Stegostoma tigrinum: one gene and its partner. The protein of the gene in region 2 interacts with the protein of the main gene of each other region in a pairwise test. Links are inferred from orthologs where the notes say so. Each region holds a gene or a part of one and is shown on either strand. Other genes may lie near its edges.

Evidence for each region.
Region 1: the proteins of kif13a (region 2) and ap1b1 interact in binary tests that used the Homo sapiens proteins (3 or more experiments, as listed by UniProt). The link is inferred for Stegostoma tigrinum from reciprocal best matches to the Homo sapiens genes KIF13A and AP1B1.

What each region holds. Positions count from the first base shown.
Region 1 is NC_081379.1:21,048,403-21,061,391, reverse strand, and holds the start of ap1b1 (AP-1 complex subunit beta-1), read right to left. Parts: upstream 5,459-12,989; 5' UTR 5,315-5,458; intron 693-5,314; 5' UTR 673-692; coding exon 636-672; intron 1-635. UniProt on the Homo sapiens protein: Subunit of clathrin-associated adaptor protein complex 1 that plays a role in protein sorting in the late-Golgi/trans-Golgi network (TGN) and/or endosomes.
Region 2 is NC_081355.1:33,300,370-33,313,180, reverse strand, and holds the start of kif13a (kinesin-like protein KIF13A), read right to left. Parts: upstream 6,237-12,811; 5' UTR 5,801-6,236; coding exon 5,746-5,800; intron 5,588-5,745; coding exon 5,491-5,587; intron 1-5,490. UniProt on the Homo sapiens protein: Plus end-directed microtubule-dependent motor protein involved in intracellular transport and regulating various processes such as mannose-6-phosphate receptor (M6PR) transport to the plasma membrane, endosomal sorting during melanosome biogenesis and cytokinesis.

The DNA of each region.
Region 1 (12,989 bases), on a different chromosome or scaffold from region 2:
AAGTGGTTTCTGTGTGGCAAGAATTTTTATGATTCTGCGACAAAACTGAAAGCCCTCTAGAAGAAAGAAAGAAATATTCAAATATTGAACAAGATCTTCCCAGTATCTCAGCTGATGTATCACTGAAACATCACTAAAAACCAGATTGTCTATGAGTAACTCTAAGCCAAAGCTACATAAACTGATATCTGTTGAAAGCACAATTCCAAACTCCTGCTTGGGTGTGACTCCAACCTGATATCATAGCAATAAGTGATTTCAGTTGTTTGTGTCCAACATTTGAATTAGACTGGAATTTTTTCTTTCAGTGCAACGAACAAACCATTGTACCTGTCAATATACTACCACAACCACATCAGGATATTACACTTCCTAACGGATCCACTCTTCAAACTTCTACAGTGAAGAAAAAAGGACACAGAAGAAGAAAGGGAGAACTAGAATTGAATATTCTGAACGTGGTATTGTAAATGACTTGCCAGTAATTTCATGATGTGTTAAACCAGTTCTTTCTGCAAAAAAGATTTAGTCTTGCAAGAGTTACAGTAAACAAGCTGGAAAGTTTACTTCAGGTTGACAACACTTTAACAAATTTATATTTGTTAGATTAGAGAGAGGGAGATGAAAAGTTCTACCTTTCTTAGTCGTTGTGAAATACTTAGAATCCGTCATGGTGATCCTGGGATAGGCTCCTGAAAAGAAAAAAAATGTAGTTGATTTTCCTGCTCAATCAGCAATGTGGATTTTCCCAACAGGAAAAACAAAGTTACTGATTAATCGGTGTTACGGTACAGTGCCTCTGTAATGAAACTTGTTGTTTTGCTACTTCCCCCTGCCTTTTAGCTCTTTCAGTAATTCTTTCAAAAATGTGCAAATATCGTCATCCAGTAACTTAATTTTCAAGTTAAAAAATGCACACTTTGTATAGTGTGCACTTTGCTTATATATGTCAATATTCATAAAATAGCACAACTTTTAATCTGGGAGTTGAGGGTAGCCCCTGATGACCTGGTCCATATCAGGATCATTGATACAGAAAAGTAGTAAGATCCTTCTGAGGGTGCACTGGGAGTTACAAATTGAAAAACAACATGTGTATAGAAGCATCACCCTAGCCACATACTAACTGATAAGAATTGACAACTGAAAAGGTGATTGCAAAGCTCACAGCTGTGCAGGACATGGGGATTAATTTTATGGGTCACCAAGACAGGAAGGTGCTGGATAGTGGTGCAGAATGACACCTAGGTCAATGTGAAAAGAATAACTAAGGCTAGGGATGAGACTTGAAACCAGCAAGATGGGGTGAAGGAAGATGTGGCAGAAACAGAAAATAAGTTGCTGAGAGTAAAGGAAAAGAATAACAGAAGCATAAACAGTCACAGAACAGAAACATTTACAGACCATTACTAAGGAGGGGTTGGAGGGAAGCACAGTCAATGGGAATAAACTAAGTTGGCTGTACTGTAATGCATACAGTATCAGGGAGAATCCAAAGCAATAATTTGTGGTGGTAAATCAGATGCAAGATCAACTGAGACTTGGCCACATGGAGAACAAGACTGGCAGTTAAATACAGCAGGACATAACACACTTATAAAGGATAGAGACAAAACAGTGAAGGAAAGGTAGCTGTACTAATCAGAAATAAAAAGAACAGTTAAAAAACAAGATTCCATGTCAATTAGGAGGTGGGAGGAGCGATTTGATCATGCTTAGAAGAGTAACCTGTTGACCATCTAATTATGGAAGGGGACAATACAAATATTAAAGGATGATGGAATCACTTGAAACTTTCTGCATTTGTGTACCACTTAACATCATAAATGCTCCATGGCTTCACAGGAAAAAGTTATTCAAACATATTCAGGCAAAATTTTAGTTGCAATTTAAAAAGGGGATGGATGTAGAGAAGTATGGAAGTGGGCAGCAAGCACAGCAGTTAGCACTGCTGCTTCAAAGCACCAGGGACGCCAGGAAAACTAGCTGTGGGTGACTGTACATGTTCTCCTTATGTCTGTGTGGGTTTCTGCTGGATGTCTGGTTTCCTCCCTCAGACCAGGAATGTGCAGGCTAATTGAATTAGCCATGGTAGATGCAGGGTTACAGGGACAGGATGGGAAAGTGGGTCCGGGTGAGATGCTTTCTGGAGGGTCGTTCCAAACTTAATTGCTCAAATTGCCTTTTTCTGCACTGTAAGGATTCTATAAGGAGGAATTCCAAAGTTCAAGGCTTAGGAAACTGAAAGCTCAATGACTGAAGGTAGAGGAATTAAAATTGAGGAAATCAAAGAGCACAAGTGGATGCATTCAAAAATCTCAACATGTGGGGAGGCTAGCTGTTGAGAAAGGTAATGCCACGCAGAGACAAGAGAATAAGGAGGAGAATTTTGAAATTACAAGTCCCATAGCTGGACTGGGAATAGAAGTAGCTCAGCGAGCAGAGCCAATTGGTGATTGAATCTCAGTGCAAATTAGTGTAAAGAAATGGAAGAAGCCATGATAGTTAATTTTCCTTAGTTTTTACCAGAATGAATAACAAAGGAGGTTGAGGGGTGACCTTAGAGGCTTACAAACTGAGTATAAAATGAATAGCAAGGTGCTTTCCCTGGCGTTGGAAACTTCAAAACTGGAGGCTTAACTTAAAGGTGACAGGGGAAAGATTTAAGATGGACTGGAGGAGCAACGTTTTCACAAAGAGGGTGGTGCGCATATGGAATAAGCTAGCAGAGGAAGTGGCAGATACAGATGTAGTTACAAAATTTAAAAGACATTTGGACAGGTACATGAATAGGAATGATTTAGAGATGGTACGGGCCAATTAGAGGCAAATGGGACTAGTTTATTTTGGGAAACTTGGTCGGCATGGACGCGTTGGACCAAAGTATCTGTTTCCGTGCTGTATGACATTCTGACAGATATAGCATTAAAATGAAATCCAAAGCAAAAACAGATAATTAGGATGGAGAAAGATAATTGTTGGACTAATTAAATTTAGAAATGATTAATTTTTGTTCAAAATTAACTACATCCACACAGTTAAAAGAGAACTAAGAGCTGGCAGATTCAAAATAAAATCCATAGAATAGCAAACCAGGTCAGGAAAATAAATGGACAATCAATATTATTCCTGTATTCAAAAGGGCGATAGAACAAATAAGGAGTTATTGTGAAGTTAACTAAAAATTAATCGTTAAAAAGTGGAATATTTACTCAAGTGTGAATGCCAACCATCTAGAAACTGCACACACATCAGTCAGTTTACAGAGTTCTTTGAAGTCATAAAATGCAAGAGTAAAGTTAATTCAGCAGGTGCAATATTAGATAGACTTTCAAACTACCTTTCATTTAGGTAAATAAGAGGCTTATGCCTGCAGGCTAGCATGCAGATTCTGGGGACAAGTAGCAGAACAAATCGAAAACTGAATATAAACCAAAAAGTATTCAAAGGAGTTACAGACTATCAAGGTGAGGGAATCTAGGACCAGAGGGTACAATCTTAGAGTAAGGGTTGTCCATTTAAGACAGAGATGAGGAGAAAACTTTTCTCCAGGACAGTAGTCAATTTGTGAAATTCTTTGCTGTGGTGGGCTGTCAAAGCTGGGTAATTAAGTATATTAAAGGTTGAGATGGACATATTTATAATTAGTAATGGAATTAAGGATTTATAGGGATAAGGAAGGTGGAGTTACGATATCAGATCAGCCATGATTGCAATGAATGACAAACAGGACCTCATGGACCAAATGGTCTATATTTGATCTTATGGTAGTGGTCCTCCATAGGGATTGGTATAGGGACCATTTCTGTACATGAATGCAAAAATTATCGAAGAATGAAAAGAATCAGAATTGCATTATCAAAACTTGCAGATACCTTTTTGGGAGATATGGCTAATAGCAAGAAAGATTACACCAAAATAAAAAACAAGCTCAAAAAATCTGTAGAATAGATGTGTAAATGGCAAAGTAATTTCAAAATATGAGAGGGGTGTTGTACTCTGGTAGTAGACATAAACAAGTCACATTTCCCTTGGAAAATTATCTTAAGTGGGGTAGGGATACAAACAAATCAATAAAAGTAGAAACAGGTCAACAAAGTCACAAAATGCAAATAATACATTGGGTGGGAAGTGGTTTGCATGGAGCATAAACACTTGAATAAACACATTAAACTGAACAGCCTGCATCTGTACTATAAAGGACAGTGTAATAAGTATTTGAATGTTTCAGAACCATTCAACCTATCACATCATCGAAACAAGCTACCCAATTTGGTTCCTGCATATTTTGCATTAGACAAATATTGCCCGAAATTACCCATAGGCAAGTATATTAAAGTAGTTGAACTCTATTTTAAAGTTGACATTGAGTGCATACAAAACAGTCATATCCATTTATGAACAAAACAGCTTCAGACCTTAGTAATGAAGACTTTGTTTCTTAAAAGAGACAAAACAAACAATTTCAAACCGAGAAGATCCAGGATTGTCATTTGCTACAAGCACAAATTGAACCTAACACCAAAACAGCAATCGATGTGGAGTCAAGGAGATCAGAATTTTCCTGTCACTACCCGGCCAGGGCAAACTGAGCTCAGTTAAATTTCAATGCTGAAGAGGAAACGGAGCTTGCCCATCAGCATGACGACCCAATTCCTTGTTTCTGGTCATTTAGTCAATGCAGCATTTCAGATGGCCGGTGGAGACTGGATGGGCAGAATGGCTTCTATCTGCACTGTGATTCTACTTGACGTTTGCCAGCACAACAGCGATTGCACTTCAAAGACATTCGCCGGGCCAAGAGCTTTGAGACAGGACTTAAACACAAGTCTGTATTAATCACAATCAGGGAGACCGTAGGAAGAAACAGTTGGGGGTGGGAGAATGTGGTGAAGATAAGGGCGCTATTTAAAAGGGAATGACTGTGTTATTAAGGGAACACGCACGATTTACAAAAAATATTAAATTTTAACAGTGAAATGCGTCCGGTTTGCCATGTCTGCCCGAGGGGCGGGAGAGAGGGAAGGGGGCGGCTCACAGTCTCCTACACCTGCTCGGGGTCCTGGAGGCCCAGGTTGGGTAAGGTCCTGGCCCCAGAGGCCGGGTAGATAGAGGGCAGCGACTGCGTGTGCGCGCGCGCCCCGGGAAAGGGCTCAACCCCCACCGCACACCCCAGACCTCAGACTCCTGACTCCCAGCTCACTCGATCTCAACTTCCGGCCACGGCAGAAAAATTAACTTTCAGCAGGCGGACAATGGTGGGTGGGGGGGGGGGGGAATGTAGAAAGCGAGAAAGAGAAGCGTAAGCACCCACCTCCCCGCGGTCACTCGGCTGAAATGAAAGTCCAGTCTCCGGTCGAGAAGGGGGCCCCCGCCAGATCGACTCCGTCCTCCGAACACCAATTGAAGCTTCAAGATGTCCGCCCGTCGCCAAGCTGCGCTGTCACCCAGCTGAACCGGAAACAATGCGCGCCACGAGGCGGGGGGCGGGGCCAGCTTCCGACCACGCCCCCGGATCCTGCCCCAGGTCCGAGCTCCCCCAGCAGTTGCAATGCAGGCTGCCTGCAGCAAAGTTCACTGTTAGACGAGGTTGCCCCAAAATCAAAACCCATATCATCTCCTAACTTAAGAGTCGAGCTGCAAAAATAATTGCTTTTAAAAAAACATAAATAGGGTGTGCTGGAGAAACCCAGCACGTCTGGCAGCACCTGTGGAGAGAGAGAGAAATGTAAACAAAGTCAAATCTCCTGCTCCTCTGATGCTGCTTGGCCTGCTGTGTTCATCCAGCCCCACACCTTGTGAAAGTGATGATGGGAACTGCAGATGCTGGAGAATCCAAGATAATAAAATATGAGGCTGGATGAACACAGCAGGCCCAGCAGCATCTCAGGAGCAATGCTGCTGGGCCTTTTGTGTTCATCCAGCCTCACATTTTATTACCACACCTTGTTATCTCAGATTCTCCAGCATCTGCAGTTCCTACTATCTCAAATCTTTCCAGGCCAGTGTGATTTCAGAAGTCCTTTCACGTTATGTTTCTCTGACCACAGATGCTGCTGGTTTTGCCGAATTTCTCCAACACTTTCTAATTTTCTTTTCCATTTCCAGCATCCATAACATTTTGCTTTAATTTTTATTTTATTGCCGTTCCCCTACAAAACAAGTTGAAAATTGGTTCATAAACCCCATTAGTGTCTTAATGTCGAGCATAAAACAATTTGTAAAGCACCAATAGCTCAAAAAGTGAATAATGATGTCCTTTTTTGACAAGTGCTCAGAAGGAACAAATAGTTGCCATTGCCAGAGTAGCAGTGTCAGTCCACTTTAGATCACATAGAAATGGGATCTGAGGGAAAAAAATTCTCAGCCATTTCTTTGTAAACAGCGTAAATACTTAACAAATGTTTATAGGTTTGCACTTGTATGGATTCCAGCACACATCTGTCAAAAGGAGCCGAGATCTGAGGTCAGAAGTCACACAACACCAGGTTGTAGTACAACAGGTTCATTTGAAAGCGTAAACTTTCACATTGCTGCTCCTTCGTCAGTTGAGTAGAGAAAGGCACACATCATATGATAGTTATACATATTGGCAGCGGTCTCCAGCCCCTTTATGAAGATTACCAATTGGTGATGATAAACATGATGTCATGACTTAATTGGGAATAATGTGCTGTTGATTATGTTCTGCAATTCTGCAAGCCATCACCAAAATCTGTAAAATGTAAATTAGCCCACGAAAATGATCAAGTTGCTGAACTGGCTGTATTCAGATCAAAAGTAATTCTCACCCGGTTTCATCATTAATAGGAAATACTTGTCTATTTGTTGCAACTCCATTAACTTTAACAAATAGGAGAGAGTCCCTAATCTGCTGCAATACGTCTTAAACAATACCCTTTTAAAAAGCTAAAAATTAACAGTCTTATTCATAATTTAGACAAACAAAAGACAGATGGTTTGGCACATGCCTGGAAAAACATGTAAACAGGGAATAAAATCTGAAGATCAAACAGCCAGAGCCCCAGCATGTTAAATAATTTCCTATAGATCCTTTTATTTTTAGGAGTGATGACACTGTTGATGTAAAGCATTGTTCATTTTTCAATTGGTAGTTGATCCTTGACCTAGGTCTCAGAATAAGGGATGCATATTTAAGACAAAGATGAGGAAGGATTTCTCCTCTCAGAGCATTATGAATCTGTGGAATTCTTTATTGCAGATGGCTGTCGAGGCTGGATCGTTAAGTAGATTCAAGGTTGAAATAGGTAGAGTTTCAGGAAATCAAGGGTTATGAGGAAAAGACAGGAAAATGAAGTTTAAGTTTATCAAATCAGGCATGATTTCAATGAATGGCAAAGCAGACTCAATAGGCTGAATGGCCCGCTTCTGCTCTTATGTCTATGGTCTTAAACACTTCTTTTGAATCACCCCACCCTTAAAGACAGCTTCAGTTACTGTAACTTGATTGCACTTACTTTATCCTCTGGTGATGGATTTTGGCTAGTATTGTGCTGGTCACCACTTGATGGAAAAATATCTGGAACCTGTTTCTGTAGCTGTTTTATCTACCTAATCTCAATTGGATGTACTGTGATTCTTGGCAAAGGTATAAATTTCACTCTGATCACAGGAGAAAGTCAACTCTGTTCATGGCTCCTTCTATGAATGTTCTAGATAACAATTCACTTCCTAGTTGCACTTTGTACAACAGAACTGGGATATATTCTGCCTTTATCATGTTTATTAACTCTTTAGCTTTTATTGCACTCTCTGAAGGGAAAACTGTATCCTTCTGGAAAAGAGCTTGTGAAGAGACAATGGGACAGTGGAATTATTGCTGAGGTGGTAATCCAGAGACGCAGGTAATATTCTGGGGGAAACAGAGAGAATGTAAGAGAAGCTCAGCAGGTCTGGCAGCATCTGTGGAGAAAGAAACAGAGTTAATGTTTTAAGTCCTGTCATTTCTTCAGAACTGGGAACCAGGGATTCAAATACCAACATGGCAAGTGGTAAATTTTGAAGTCAATAATCATCTTGAACTAAACGTTTAATGATGATCTTGAAACCACAGTTGATGATCATGAAAAACACCCATGCAGTTCATTAATACCACCTAGGGGAAGAAAATCTGCCATCCTTGCCTGGCCTGGCCTACATGCAACTCCAAACCCACAACCACCTGACTCATAACTGTCCTACGATGTAATGTTTAGATTTATCAACTGCTAGAAAGTGACAAAAAGGGAACAAAAGAATGAAAATGGATGGATCATTGAGCATTGACAAAAGCTCTAGAAATGACAACAGCAAGTTCAGCCCTTCAACTCTGAAAAATCGCCTTCACTAACAGATTAGTACCACAATTAGAGACTGAGCAACAGCCTGGCATATACTCAAGGAATCATAGTTTATGAACAATGTCCCAGACTACTCCCTCACCATATAATACAGCTTGAGGAAATTCAGCAATGAGTCGATTCACTAGAGTCTGAGCTTTTCCAATAGATGCAAGGTTCTTGCTGCTAGTCTGGACAGGGTACAAGAAGGATGAGTGAACTGATCACTGGTCCAGGGCACCATTTAAGTAGGAGGAGAAAAGAAAATGTAGTAGTAATATGGGGAGCATAGTTAGGCAAATTGATGTTGTTCTTTGTAGCAAAGACAGGCATTCCTGAAGGGTGTGTTGCCTACCTGGCGCTGAGGTTTGGGACAACTCTTCTGGTCTGGATAGAAACTTGGAGTAGGTGACAAAAGATCCAGTTATTGTGGCCAACAACATGGATAGGACCAAGAAAGTGTTCTGCTGAGGAAATAAGAACAGCTCAGGGTAAAGTTAACCACAGAGATAACAATCTCCAGACTACTATCTGTGCTGTGTGCAAATTGGCACTGGGTAAATAACATTAGAGGTAAATGTGTGTCTCAAAGATTGATGTAGGAGAAACGAGTTCTGATTCATGGGGCACTGGTACTTTCACTGGAAAGTGAAAGCTGTTCCATTGGCACAGGCTTCTTTTGAAAAATGCTGGGGCAAATGGTATAACTAGGGCTGTAGATAGGCCTTTAAACTAATTCGTGGGAAGTGGTGAGTGTTCAATTGAAAGGAAGATTGAAAAGTCAACTAGAGTCAAGAGAGCAAAGGTGCATGACAGTGAGGAGGTGAACAATAATCAAAATGTGATGGGAAGGGGTAGAAAATATTTGCAAAATAGTGCAACAAGATTAGATCCATAGTTAGTAATAAGGTTTAAAACATCAGAGTTTAAACTCCTTTATTTGAATGCAGAAAGCACTTTCAAAAGGACTAGGCAAATCAAAATCAATGGATATGATTTGATAGGCTATTGCAGATTCATAGTTGCTGGGTGACCAAGATTGAGAACTCAGAACAAGGGTATTCAGTGTTATTGAAGAATAGGCTTAGAAGTAAAGGACATATGCATGGTGAAAACTGAACACTGCTTTTCCTCTCAATCTGCCCAGGTGAGACACTGCTGACAAGTGCAAGCGCACATCACCTTTCAGTTAAGTAAACTCTGTTATTGTTGGGAGTAAATTAAAGGAATCCTGATGTTTAAAAATCTCCTGGATTGAATTTAATAGCCACTAGTAGATTGAGGGTGAATCCTCTAGTCTTCTGGCTATTCTGAGACCATTAGCAGCCCTAGCCATATGAAAGTGTGGAGCTGGAAAGATTTACAGCCACTGGAGCGTGATTCAAATACAGAGTATGAAGAGATTTGCAGCACCCATGTATCACAAATGGAGCTGAAAGGGGAAGCTTGGGAAGGAGAGACAGTGGATAGAGAAGCTTGAGAAAAGTTTACCTCACCATAATATGGAGCTTTTGTTTTCTCTCTGACAGTTGGCAAATTGTTCCCAATTGCCCAAAGTTTACTATTGATGAAATAAATGATGTTGCTTTTAAAATGCGCAGATTTGCAGGAGCATTGATGCAAGAAACGTTCCAGTTTTATAACACCCGTGAAAATTCCAGTTGGTTGTGAGACCAAGAGAGAGAAGTTTAACTTTTCTTATAAATTGCATTTCTTATTACTATGCATGTATTGGGATGTCTGCAGAAATAAAGAGAGCTGCCACCTCCAGAACTCGCACATCGCCGTTTCTGAATAATTGCCTGTATCCATTAGCATAAATAAGCTTGATTCATTACAGTGTTGGTATAAAACAATAAACTTTATCAGATTTTCACAACTTGAGTTGCTGAGGCTGAAAACATACAATTTTTCCACACATTCTCCTTCTTAGCATTTTGCAAAATCAATGTCCTTATAATATTTTCTTAAATTAGAGCGCTTATTCTGTTAATAACTGAAAAGTAGGATTTCAACAGCATATTTTTAAAATTCATATAATATTTCAATTGACTGCAAAAAATATTAAGCAGATATTTTATCAAATTTGTTTTCTTCCTTCTTCCAAAAACCACAACCTGTGCTAGAGCATAATTCTGTTAGAACCAATAGTTCTCCAATATCTCAACTGTTAGTTTTTGCATTATGTTTGGGCAATGTTGAGAAATCTAACATCATAGCTGAAAGCTAATAGCATCCTGACTTAAAATTAAACCTCATAAAATCCACCCAGCGGGGTGGTGATCAGGGATAGGAAATCTGACTGACTTTATTCACGTTTGCATGGAGACGCACGTAGATTTTACAAGGGGACAGAATAAATCCTCCACATCATAAAAGTCACCCAGAAACCTTATGACATGAAATCTGGAAGCCCACCCCTACCCTCATCCCCACAACCACAATACCCAATGGGCATCCATAATTAGTTAAGAGTGCAACATCCACCCTTCAGGGACAGGAAAACCCTCCCCAGCCCTGTGAGTTACCAGCTAATCAGATTGTCAAGTTGCTCATTAGCTCTGTTGTCCTAGCACCACCTGGAGTCAACAATGACCACTTTGGGGACAAGATCAGAAATCACACGACACCAGTTTATAGCCCAACAGGTTTATTGCAACCTCCAAGAACACTTTGGGACAAACAATCCTGAGGAAGTGAAGATCTCTCCAAGCTTGTGGTTCAGAACTTTAGGCATGTATGGTTGGGAGACCTCAGCATAGTTGTGGTTGGCCAAGTGGACTGTTGGAAAGCAGAGAAAGGGATTGAGTTGGAGATGTCTGCATGGGGAGCCAAAAGCAGATGTACATCTTCAGTGAGACTGCCTCCCAATACAGACAAGGGATCATCTGAAACGAGGGGCTTCTTCCTGCACAACAAGAACTCATGCTGTTGAGGTTGTTGGGCTGTTCTGTTCACTTCTCTCTTGCCCTGCAGACTGAAACATTGCATCGGAGGTTGAATGAAGCCTTTAAGTTGCAGCTGATTGTGCACTGAAGGCCCTCAATAGTCTTATAGGAGTGGACGGGTGTGTGGGTTTGCCTGTAAAGTATTTCCCTCTCTCTGCAATATGGGAAAAAGCTCAAGGGTGGTGAATGATTGGCTGCTTATTCTATTTTATATGGGCCTCCGCAGCTTCAAACATGCCAGCGTAGGGCTTTAAATTTCAGCCCATATGGTCACTCTCCTACTGTTGCAGATCAAAATTAGTGACCAAATAAAGATTGTGCTTATACATTGCTGTTTGTGAGCTGCAGGACCTCAAAACGATTCACAATGAATGGTGTACTTTTGATGTATGGCCACTTATAACATCATTAAATCAGAATTCAAAATGGAGCCCAAGATAATAAAATGTGAGGCTGGATGAACACAGCAGGCCAAGCAGCATCTCAGGAGCACAAAAGCTGACGTTTCGGGCCCTACTGGTTTCCATGACTGAGTGTCCAACGAAGGAACTTGCGATTAATTTCTGTAGGTTTTGGTTTAATGTCGGTTTAGAAAGGAAGGAAAAGGCTCTGAAAATATTGATTATAAAAATATATATTTCTTACAGAAATACATATCTTATAGCGGTGAAGAATTACTGTAATCGGCTGCAAAATACTTTGGGGCTATTCACCTGTTTTTGGATTTTGGTTTTTACCTGATCTTTTTCCCCATAAATTGTGCAATTACATAATATATGAAAATTGGAAATGAATTTAAAATGAAGGGAAAATATGTAAAAAAGGAGAAGGAGAGTGGGAATTCAAAGGCAAAATTAAAGAGAAACATTTCGAGATTTTTTAGAACAAGGCGGTAGGCTACAAGACAGCAAGAAGCAGACAGCCAGTTCCAGAGAGGGCAGTAGGCACAGTGTTGTGGACGAACAAACAAAATGTACCTTAATATTAGAGAAACAGACCACAACGTATCTGGCAAGATATCATTGAGGGCAACTACGGGTGGGCAATGATGCCCGCATCCCACCAATGAATAAAAATAAAATACAGAAATGTCTGAGAACCAGGAAAAGAAATTTGAAGCTAACTTACTGGGGAAGGGAGGAAAAGCTATTTGGAAAGAATGTTTGTGGTGGAAATGTATGACTTTATGCAACGGAGCAAGTATGTATTTGAATGATCTGTTAAGATGAGGTTTGCTAGGAGAGTTTTAGGAAAGTTAATAGGGCTCAAGATGTAAAACAGTGACTTTTCAGTTACAGGAGATAAATAATTGTGGAGGTCCCAAGAAAGCACTTTTGGTAATGGAGGAGGTTGAATTTAAGGTTAATGGAAGTCCTAGACTCTGAATCTCTTAATTTACTTTGAAATGGTATCTGGGAAATTGATAGTATAAAAGTCAGAAGAATGTAATTGGTGGTGAGAACAGAACACTTTGCTGCTGTTAGGCTAGCAGAAGTGTTGGCCCATCCAAGACCTGATAGCATTCCAGAAGTGCCCTGATTCCAGGTTAATGTTCTGCTCAGGGGTCAATTGAGGAATCCCAGCCAGGGCATATATACCAGAATAGTGTAATAAAATTAAAATCTTGCAGATGGTGGAAATCTAAAACACGGAGAATATTGGAGTAACTCAATAGGTCTGGCAACATTTGTGGAGAGAGACA
Region 2 (12,811 bases):
ATGTAACAAAGTTTCTGGGTCAAGATTCCAAACCATAAGCAGATAAATCAAAGTGACTGACAGTTCTATTGGTTTTTGCTGAGGACATCACAGTTTTGACAACGACAGTGATCGCCAATTTGGTAGCTGGTTAGTTGGATTTAGGCTTTTGCTTGCAATTGATGTTCTTCTATTCAGAGTCTTTTAGTGCTGAATTTACTTCCACTCAGAGGGCAAGAGACAGGAGAGTTGTCTTGGTTGCATGCTTTTGGACATCTGAGTACCAGTGCTCCTTTCACTCAATTCTGTGATGAAGGACTGCTTATAACCAATCCAAAAGCTGTTGCTCAGCAGGTTTTTCCATCTGAAAGCACCTAGTCTCTCAAAATTATCAAATGCAGCTTCTCCAAAATTTACATATACAGGTAACCAAATGAATGAACAGCAGTTCTACTTTTGCTTCAAGTTGCAAAAATAGTTCATTCTTTGCAACAGAGATAAAAGCTTCCATTTTCCAGTTTATATTTCAAATAAAACATATGTAATCCTTACACTACATTTAAAATAAAAAGAGGTCTTGAGAAGTCTCAAGAGGAGCCATCGGAAGAAAGTTGTGCTTTGCACAGACTGCTTAGCACATCAGGAGTTGTAAATGGTCATGAGTGTTTCCCAGTGAACATCCAGACTTCTCATCTTACTGGTGTATATAAAGATAATGAATTAAGTTGCTGACGATGGTTGGACCCAATACCCTAAACATCTACCTTTGTAAATAGTATTAGTTGGGGCTCCAACCATTAGAGTTTGCTCCCCCATTTTCAACTGACTTCAAATTTTTGCTTATATCCCTTAATGCTATACTTGGCTAAACGTTGTCTTGATGTCATGAATAATCAGTGTGTTCTCACCACAGGAAGTCAGTCATTTGGCCACATTTAAACCAAGGCTGATGAGGTCTTAAGCTACAGCATCCTGACAAAAGTCCAGAGTTTTAGATGAGTTCAAGTTGGTGCAAGACAAAAAGTTCATTCAGAGAAGATATGAACAGTCAAATCTAGAGGTATCAAAAGGTACAAATGAGGGTTTCAACAAGGACACAAAACAAACAAACAAGCCAAATATGTTCCAATGGGAGATGGAGGCAATCTCCAAGATGGAAAGGATCAGAGGTTGGCAGTTCACGATTAGACAGGATACTAAGTTTGCCAACAGTCTGGTTCAGCCTTACACTTTAGCCAAGACTGGAATGAAGTTAGCTGTTTGATGTGGTATCATTACTGTAATCCACATACAATAGCATTGATATTCCCAATATTTATGAACAGGATTTCTGCCCAATGATACTGGATGTTGGACAAACTCTGCCAAATCAGAGGTAATGTCATGGTCAGAACAGATGTTGGGGAAGAAGGAACAGATTCAGCATACACACATGGAATCAGACATGTTTGAGTGCAACGTCAAGAAAATGTACATAAATCTAAATAAAGATATTGTAACATTTTGTAGGTTCCGTTCAATGTTCTAACATTTTTCAATGCTCAGTCTCTGGCCAAAAACTGACAGAATCTCAAGGTTTCTAGGTCTTCAAATGTAACAATCTGCTAGCAAATGCACCCATCACAACCTGCCTTCAAGTTAAAACAAGTTAGGCTAAGTACTGAACAATGGATTTTACGAGATGCGAAGAAAGGATGTTCCTTGATCTTTTATTTTTAAATTATGCTTAGACATACTCCAAAATTCTCTCTCAAACAAATTATGCCACGGCACGATATTTAGAAAACTGACACAGCCTTCCAAGGCCTACACTAATAATCACCCTTCCTTGCCAAAATATTTTCAGGTTATTCATTAGTAACTCAAACAGTATCAAAAATATTTTTTCATTAACTGTAGTAATTTGCAGACTTGAGTCTTAGATTGTCAAGTTTAATTCATTTACTGGATTAAGCAGAGTGGATAGGGTCTCTGCTTAAATTATGCTCATTTTAATATTCCATCAGGATATTCATTATCCATGCCTGGATTGCCCCCCCAATCAACCTGTTTAGAGGCGCTTCCCCCTGCAACAGGTGGGATTTGAACTGAGCCTCCTGGCTCGGGGTTGGGATACTACCACTGTACCACAACAATGCCACATCTCCTCAACAGAATTACCCATGACTAATCAAAATGTTAGATTAATAACTGCCTTACATAAACTTATAACAAGCAGTTCTGAAACTCAGCAGAGTGATTTCTACCAACAATGCTCAAGGCTCGTAAACTGGTAGTAAAGTACGTGCTCATCTTCGTGAAGTGAGCGCATAACAAAGAGAGGGCCAGGGAAAAGACGACCATACTTATTCCACACAATTGCTTTAAGTGGCCATTTTAAGTTGGCAAGTACAAAGTTAATATAGGTTGATGGAAAATAAAAAATCAAACATCTGTATGATACTGAAATCTTGTAAAACATTAAGCAAACAACTAAAGCCAATTAAAAAATACAGGGAAACTCTAAATCATTAATTTCAAAACGCAAGTAAATCTTTGCACTCAGTACTCATTATATGTCCCACAAGTGTCAGTGCATAGACCATTATAATTTCCAGTGAACTTAAGTGACCTAAATGCCAAAACTATGAACTAGTTGAATCTACAGATGACAAAATGGCAAAAATACAGGACCCACTGAATAACTTGCAGAGGTACTTGAAATCAAAACACAGACAGATATGATTAAATTTAAGGCTGAAATACAATGTACAAAATGCCTAGGAGGATATATAAAATAAGGAACAGTGTACAATTAATTAAATTTAATAAACAAAGGGACCTGGATAAAAAGTCACAGGAACTAATAGTAGACATATCAATTTCAGTGTCCAGACAATGGGCAAAGTGGTAAAATAATTTAAAAACAGAGAAAGCAATGGCTGAAGTTTATATTCCTCATTCTCTTCTGTGCAAATCAATGTATTAGGTTCAGCTTTGAATATTTCACAGAGAAATAGATTTGTGTCAGAAACAGTGCAAAATGCAACAAAACAGATCCAAATGAAATGGGATAAGCTATGGAAAAACGATTAGAGAAATTCAAACTATGCAGTCTAGACTCTAAAGACAAAAGGGTGAGCCAACTGAATTACATAACTACCTATAACAAATGTAAAAGCTTGTGGTAAATCTCACCCCGAACCAATCAAAACAAAATGTTGGAAATTCAGAGCACTGCTTAAATGGAACTAATACAGGTTTAGTAGCTTAGTCTGTTAAGGAGTTGGGAGAAGAGAAATACACAAAGCACAAAACAGTATGAGAGAATATAAATAGGCATTGATGAAAAAAATATGAAACTGATATTAGGAAAACGTTCCTTGTTTCAGATTACATGATTAAATAATCCATTGATCAATACAACAGACCCAAAAACTGTGTTACATGTGAAAAAAATGACTGCCACGGTGAAATAAGGAAGATGCCAAATGGACTGATTTGCTGTTTCTTATCCTCATGCTGCCTGTGAATTTACATGCAAAGGAATTCAACAATGATCAAAACATCAAGCTGGAATTGCTGAGTAGTACATGCGCCTATTCTAATTGTGGGTGGCCATCTACTTGATAATAAAAAAGACCTAGGGCCCATGACCTTGTCTCCTATTCAAGGTGCCTTTGGACTTCAACTTCATTTCCATCCACCACATCAAAAAAAGTAAAGTGCATAGAACATAAAGCACACAGACTCCATCACTGCCATTCGGCCCAGCTGTTTGGTGGGGAGTGGGAAAGACAGCGGAAACTGTTTGACCTAAAATCCTGCAAATAGAATACAAATGGCCAATTCTTTCAGTACATGGGCTGAATTCCAATTAAATGCTTAATGAATGATAATGCAGTTGCAATTTGAATATGCTACTACACATGGATTCCACAGTGCATTAAAGATGACTAGGCATTATTTTGATAATTTTATTTTAATATGAACTAGGAATTTAAAACATGGAAGGACAACGAGTACTGCGAATAGTTAAAGCAGCGAGTGACGCGACTAGACACAAACATTAGATTTCCAGCCGGGTTTGTACACAAGATCTCGGTCTAAACACTTAAATCTACGCAGTATGTGGTCTCCCGTATATTGTAAATAACTCCAAGTACAGATGCTTAGATTGCAAGAGTCAAATGCATTCTGTATGTTGCAAACATGCCTACAGTGCGAGAGCCCTTTCGATCGAAAGCTATGTAATAACTTGGTTTAAAACCACTCCAACTAAGTGTAGTGTGCTCATTTAGTGGCCAAATAACGCCCGAACACAAGCATTTGGTCCGCTCAAAGGAAAACAAATAAATCATGATAGCACGAAATCGCTGAGAGGAGCAATCAGTAAACTGGAGGCAGTAAGCCGCACCTGCTTTTCAAACAAACAGTTATATTTTAGTGACTGGGATTCGTTTGATGGGAGGGCAGGTTAGGCTGCGGTTGGTTGTAGGTTTGTTCCGCGTCGTCGCTACACAAGCCAATTGAAAAGTAAGTGACTGAATCTGATGGATTACACAAATCAATAATCAATCTTGAACCTCGAAAAAAAAATGCCGATTCTTAAAACAGACCAGACAAATTTGCGATTAAAAAGAGCAACACTAATCCAACAATTTCCAGCCAAACTGAATACAACAGTGAGTAACCAGCTTCAGCCAAGGAATTTTACAAATGCCTCCCGTGCAGGGAGATTCTACAGAGCGGACCCAGAAGCACGGCAGTCTCTGTACCGTCACCTGGATTTCCAAACCAAAAAAAAATCTTAATGCTATCGTCCTTCAATAGTCAAAACACACCCCGAGACGCTCGTTTAGATTACAGCAAATACAAAAAGATAATGTCAACTTTATTTTTAATAAAGTAAAACAAAGGAGTTAAATAAGACTGCAGTCCAGTCACCATTCATTCTCTTCAATTGTTTAATAGTAATGCCACATTTCTTTATTTCTTTGGAACTTGTCACAAAAGTCTCTTCTCCCAGCCCCCAATCTTCCATTTCTCTTCCCAAAAAAATTCCAACGCAACAGACCATAGAAATTGGGTGTGTGCCAACATTATCTTTTCTCCTTTTAACAAAAGATGGAAAACCATCCAAACAAGTGTAATATATTATATATCTATATATGCTACGAGTGCCTTTTGAACATATTTTGATTTTAACTTGTTTATAAATATCTGATTGTCCGACTCGGGACTCTCTAATCTCAGCAGCGTACGAACTAGAAGTAGCTGCTGGCGCCGTTTGTGGTCTCCATCGTCAGAGACGCTCTCCCCTCCTCCCTCTTTTTATATGCGAGCAGCAGATTTTTGTTGTGCAGAGTTCCAATTTTAAACCACGCTTGGGGCGTTAATTCTCGTGAGGGCATAACGAAAGAGAAATAGGGGGAAATAAGTTATCTGCATCGTAGCCTTCTTTCTGGGATCGGGGAGGGAAGGAAGGCTGCAGTGGAAAAAGAGTCTGTCGTTGGGAAGCGCGGCTGTTACCTGTTGTCTGCCTTGGACGTGTTAGGACAAGGCGGTGGATGAAGGACAGTCTGATTTTCTTCCATTTCCACTATACACTTGGTGTTGAGTTCCAGCTCTGTACAGAACATCAGTCACAACGTTACCAAACAGCCTACAACTCCTGCGTATCCATCTCCCCAACTATTAACTGTTACTTCAAATAAAAGACCCTTTTCTTAAAACATTCCCGAGAACCACACTGCTTCTTGTATTGGATTTTAAACTCCTCCTTACCTCGTCGGTTCATTGGCCGGACTCTCACTGCAACTTTCACCTTAGAATCCGACATTTTCGCACTTTTATTCCTTGCCCAAACCGGCGTTGCTATAAACTTATTCCTTTGGTTGCTCCCTCTGTTGCACTTTTTTCTCACGTTCTTCTGGCGCACGTGTTGCAGAAAGCCACGGGTCCATTACTCGATAGAAATTCGAACAGCAGAAGAATCGTTCTCGTTTCTGTCTCTCTCTTTTACTTTAGCCAAAGATGTTCAACTCCACTCCCTTCATCACCGCCGCCATGTTACAAGCGTTCAATCAGTCAAGTCAGGGCCCGCGGAGATTCCCGAAACCTCCAATCGTTCAGATTGAGTTCAGTTCAGCTCGGCTCCGCTCCGCCGGACTTCCAGCTGCAGCACGGAAACACCCGAGGATTAGGCACTCGTTTTTTTTAAAAAAGCACACAGGCAACAGGTCCGCACGGAAACGCCCGAATGGCCTCAGGTCAAACGCAATGAGAGCTCAGAGAAACCAACCCTGACTCAAAGGTTGCGAGAGATCCTCCTGTTACCCACCCCCACCGGCGAGACGAAGTTTTTATTTTAAAAGTCTGAACGCATTTATTTTAAAACGTGATGATCTCATCCGTTTAAACACTGAATTATCTGGTCTCTTGCACGGTATTGCCAGTAATTTAATCTGAATAGAAATTTATGCACGGCAGGTTGGTCATGTTGAGTGTAGAGAAGAATACAGCGTATGATTTAGGGTGAGAATGTTCCATTCAGAACCTACGGTCTCCACACCCGAATGCTTGTAGCATGTATCAGCTGCCCAAGGTCCCGTCATAATCTCGTTTCTTCGCGCCTTCCAGTCTTGAGTTTTTTTAAATCAGTCATTGTTAATACCCTCAATTTTCAATTTCAATGAGCAATATAATTAGATGAAAACATGAATTGATTTCTCATTGTTTGTCGCGAGTGTACTTCAAAGTATAATTCTCCTTCCCTTAGGGTGCTCCTCTTTATGTCCTGAAAGATTCTCGCTCTTCCGCCATCATTAACTCAAAATTAATTTGTTTTGCCATTGACCGTAACCTTGTTTTATGTAGTTCGAGGTGGTACTGTGTACATGATGATAATCACTTCTTTGGTCCAACTGGAGGAGTCCTAGGGAGTAATCACTGGGAGGTCTATTGCATTACCACAGCAATGCAGGGTTTACATGAGTATGACCCACATTTCACATTTCTATTAAGACTTATGCGTACGCAGCACCAACTGTGTCTACCAACTCCTTCGTTAGGCTGCCTTTGTCGTAATTACATTTTCACAGCATGCCTTTACTACATACAATCAAATATTAGACTGTTCTTATAACATCTCCATCCAAGTCTTTTACCCTCATACTATTATTGTTATGGATGTATTTATACATTGTAATAACCACTATTCGTTGATAATCTGGAAATTTCACTTTCTTCCTCAAATCTGTTCTCTTCATACTTCAAAGAATGGTCATTTGTTGGATAGAATTTGGTTAGACTGTCTTGCTGGTGGTCTGAGGTCTGTAGGTTCTCCACTGTTCCTTGGTTTGTTAATTGCTTATTCCAGTAAAGACTCAATGGATAGTTCATCTGTCCCAAAGAGGAGGATTATCCAGATAACATTACATAGACAATGTTCTCTCAGGTTGCCCCTTGCTTGGATTTCCACCAGAATATTAGACAATCATATCCCTATACCTATGGTTTCCAGTTATGCCAGTTTTCAGCAACTAGGATACTTTAAACTACCCTTTTGATTTTCTTAGCTCCCCTGACTCATGAATAATAGTTGTCATTCTTTCTCGCCAAGAATGTGATAAACTCTCCTATACTAGAAAATCCATCTGGAAGATTAGCATATGAAAGATTAAAGATGACTAACTTCATTTCTGCTGAATTTCCCAAGGCTCGAAACTGCAGTGCACATTTCTCTGAATTACTTTTTTTCACTATTGTATTCACTCAGTGAACCTTCGACTGTATCATGTTTTAACATGGTACGAGGCTCCAATGGATCATAACTGGCATTGGATTTAGAACATAGAACATTACAGCACAGTACAGGCCCTTCAGCCGTCGATGTTGTGCCGACCTGTTATACCGATCTGAAGCCCATCTAACCTACACTATTCCATGTACGTCCATATGCTTATCCAACGACAACTTAAATGTACCTAAAGTTGGCGAATCTACTATCGAGTCTGAGTACAGAACCAGTTTAATGTCCAGTCAAACTCCTTAATGTGTCTACTTCTTTGTTGGATGTAGGATCCGCTCTGTGATGACCTGGTTGTATTTAGTGGTATGAAAATGATATGTTCTAAGTATGATGGTTGATCTAAGGTCACTCTTGACTTATTCTGCTTAATATCTAGTCCTATGTAACTGAAGGTCCCTGAAACTTGCTCCCAACAGTCAAGTACTTTTTTAATGTTATCTATCACATATCACTTGAACTCTGCAAAATTAGCCTCTAGCAAATCACCAGCGTGCATCACAACGATGTTTGTTAGTTTCTCCTAGCGAAACGAGTAAAATACAGCTAGGCCTACTTTTGACCGAATCCTCTTTCACCTGGATGGTCCTAATGGAGAAATATCACATCATTGATGAACCATCCAAACCATAGACACATTTGTTTAATTCCCACATATTCTTCTCCAAATTGACAGCCTTCTTAGCTGGCACCAAAAAGACTTCCTTTCGAAAATTTTCCACTCACGAAAATTTCATCAGTCAATTTACATTGCAATGAATTGCATTTTAAAAGAGCCAACAAAATCTTCATATTTCCTTTTCCTTCTGTCGGGGAATCAAGTCCAATAATTTGATCACAAAGTCTTTCTTCAAAACTCAGAGCCAGCAGTCTGTCTTTAGCCTTTTCTTTATGTACCATCAAGATACTGTTATTCTACATATCCAACTATGTGATAAAGTTCGTTGTCTCCTGACTAGTACATCAATACACACACAACTTCTTTCAAGTTTTCCAACTCTTTTGCTTGATGTCCTTTATAAACTTTTCTAATCTGTTAGCAGCCACTAAAACTTGCCAGTCACAAGAACTTACTTCTCATGGCATTCCTAGCCTGTATCATCTTTGTTCATGTGAATTTATGTCCTCTACTTACCCTCCTATCTCATTCTGTCCTAGAACTATGAGATCTCACCTTCCTTTGGCCAGAAATCCATTTCTTGCACTCCATTTTTTTTTAGGACTACGTTCACATTCAGGTACACTTTCAAAACTTGTACTACATTTTCTGGACTTTCACACCTTAGTTTCCTTTTGCCAACCTATAGACCTCACGTTCTAACCCTTATCCTGCATATTTAGCCAATGTCTACATTTGCTGGTGGCTTTCCCTTTGTCCCTAGCATGGTGGCATTCCTCTCGCTTTACTGCTGATTTTCAGTTCCAGCCTGTGGGATCTATAACCCTACCCTGAGCATTAGCACTAATGTTTCCATATTGAGTCAGCCCTTTACCTGACATGTTCTGCTCATGTTTATCCAAGATGTGTGTATCACTTAGATTACTCACTTCACTTAATTACTTGTTCCAGTTCTGTAAATGTATGGTCAGTGCCAATTAAACTTGAAAAATGCACCTTAGCAATTTGATGCTATAAAATGGTTGTTTTTCTATCATTATCCAAATCTTTGCCTGAACTTTCCACCTTTTATAAAATACTATGTCCCAGGATTACAGTTAATTTCTGCTGACCTTCTGATGGCTATGAGTCTCACTGAATTTAGTCTGAAATCTCGGCCTGAATTAATGCCTTTCTCCCTACATTCAGGGCATTGATGTTTTCAGAAAGAGTGAAGTTAAGTGTAAGCATTTCCCAAGCTAGGGAATGGGAAGTACAAGCCCATCATATTCCCTTTAGGGTGAATTGTAGGAGCAACAAGTCCAGAGAACCCTGGATATCTAGAAAGTTCAGGACTCGGATAAGAAGGAAAAGTGAACCTTTTAAAGGTGCAAAGGAACAAAATCAACTGAGGGCCTAGTAGTGAGTGTCAAGAGATGTACAAAGTTAGCTCAAAAGTCTCCAGTGGCTATTCCTCTAGCAAATAGATATTCAGTTTTTGGAACTGTAGAAGGGGATAGTCTCTCCAAAGAAAATGGAATGGGCAGTCTGTTATTGGACACTTAGAATGATTCATATGTTAGGCAGCATTTGACAAGATTTAATAGAATTATTGTTATAGGAGATTCTTCTGTCAGGGGCATAGACAAGTGATTCTGTGGCAGTGTGCCTAAATTTAGGATTCTTCGTTGCTTTCCTGGTGCTAGGATTAAGGAGGTTTCTCAATGTTTCAAGCATATTGTTAAAATTGAGATTGAGAAGCCAGAAATTATTGGACACGTTGGTAGAAATGACATCCTGAGGCAAAAGATTAAAGCAGTACAGAGTGAATTTAAGAGATTAGTTAGATGATTAAAAAATAGAACCTTGAAGTTAGTAATTTCTGGTTTACTCCCAATGCCAGACTCAAATGAGGGAAAGAACAAAGGGTTAAAGGAGATAAATCAATGGCTGAAGAAATGGTGCATTGTTCAGGGATTCAGGTTTTTGGACAATTGGAATGTCTTTTGGAATAGAATAGACCTGTTCAAAAAGGATGGTTCTAACCTAAACTGGAAAGGGACCAATATCTTAGCAGGGAAATTTGCTCATTCTGTAAAGGAAAACTTTATTTTGATAGCGAGGGTGAGTGGAGGAATTCTAAGTAGCAGTGTAAACAGAAGGATTAATGGGGAAGGTTCTGAAAGTGAGGAGACTGCATCAATTAGCAAAGAAAGACAAGAGAGAATCAGAGTATATAGTAGCTCTGAAGAACCAAATTGGATTTATTTCAGTGGGCAAGGGGTCTTACAGTTAAGGCTGATGAACTCAGGTCATGTTTAAGAATGTGGGATTGAGACTTCATAGCCATTACAGAAACTTGGCTAAGAGATGGACAAGACTGGCAGCTCAGTATTCTGGGTTTTAGATGCTGTAGGAAGCATAGAAAATTAGGCTAGTAAGGAGGGGCCAGTGATGTTTTTGATTAAAGAATACATTACTGCTGTAACTAGGGAAGATATTGCTGGAAAACCATCCGGTAGAAATAACAAATAAGAAAGGAAAGATCACTTGGATTGTACTATAGACCCACCCCATTCCCCTCCCAACAGTAAGAGGACAACTGAGAAACAAATATGTAGGGAGATTTCAGATATATGTAAGCATAATAAGGTTGTAATAATGGGGGACTTTAATTTTCCAAACATTGGTTGGGGCTACATTGTGTTAAAGGTTTGGATGGTGAAGAATTTGTCAAATGTGTTCAAGAAAAAAATTCTATCTCAATATGTGGATGCTCTTACTAGAGAAAGACAAAACTAGACCTTCTTTTGGGCAATAAGGCAGGGCAATGACTGAAGTAAAGGTGAGGAAACACTTTGGGTCTCGCGATCATAATTCTAGTAATTTCAAAATAGTTATGAAAAAGGTTGAGCCTTCCAAAAAAGTTAGTTTAACTGGAGTAAGGCAAATTCTAAAAGTACGAGACAAGAACGTTCAAAAGTTGATTGGGTAGACTATTTGCAGGTAAAGGGACATCAGGCAAGTGGGAGGCATTCAAAAGTGTGATGACACAAGAATTCAGAGGTGTTTTGTTCCCGTTAGATTAAAGGGTAAGGCTAGTAAAATTAAGGAACAATAGATGAATAAAGACACCAAAGTTCTAATCAAGAATAAAAGAGAATTTTATTTTAGATACAAACAACTTGATTCAACTGAATCTCTTAATCAATATAAAAAGTGTGTAGGGGCATTCTTAAGAGAGAAATCAGGGAGGCAAAGAAGGAATATGAGATAGCACTTAACCAAAAAAAGGTTAAGGATAATCCAAAGAGATTGTACAAATACATTAAGAGCACAAGGGTAACTAGAGAGAGTATAGAGCCTCTTAAAGATCAAGGAGGTTGTCATTGTGTTGAACCTTAGGAGATGGGAGAGATACTATGAATATTTCCCATCAGTTTTTCTTTCTGTGGAGAAAGAAGTGGAGACTAGAGAATGCAGAGAAATAAACTTTGATGTTTTAAAAACAGTTCACAATTACAGAAGAAGTGGTTCAGGAGGTCTTAGAGAACATAAATATGGATACATTTCTGAGACCAGATCTAATGTATCCAAGAACATTGTGGGAAGTGAGGGAGGAAATTATGAGACCCTTTGCAGAAATATATGCATCATTTATAATTACGGGAGAGGTGCCTGATGACTGGAGTGTGGCTATTGTTGTACCTTTTTTTAATAAAGGTTATAAGGAAAAACTGGGGAAGACCATAAGACATTGGAGCAGAAATTAGGCATTTTCAAGCCACTGAGTCTGCTCCACCATTCAGTCATGGCTGCTAAGTTCTCAACCCCATTCCCTCACTTTCTCCCAGTAACCCTTGATCCTCTTGAGAATCAAGAACCTATCTATTTCCATCTTAAATGTACTCAATGACCTGGCCTCCACAGCCTTCTGTGGCTGTGAATTCTATAGATTCACCACTCTCTGGCTGAATACATTTCTCCTTATCTCTGTTCTAAAAAGTCTTCCCTTTAGTTTAAGGGAAGTACCCTTAGGTCCTAGTCTCTCCTACCATAGGAAACATCTTCCCAACATCCACTCTGTCCAGGCCATTCAATATTCTGTAAGTTTCAGTTAGATCCCCCTTTTCCTTCTAAACTCCATTGAATATAGACACAGAATCCTCAGATGTTCCTCATGTGTTAAGCTTTCCATTCCTGGGACTATTCTTATGAACCTCCTCTGAACGCTGTCCAGGACTAGTACATCTTTCCTGAGATATGGGGCCCAAAACTGCGCAAAATACTCCAAACGTGGCCTGAAAACTATAATACTATGAGTCTAACTTTGGTTGTGGGCAAATTATTGGAAGTGATTATCAAAGATAGGATTCATAGACATTTAGAGAAGCAAAAATTGATTAGGGATTGTCAGCTTGGTTTTGTGTGAGGAAAATCATGTC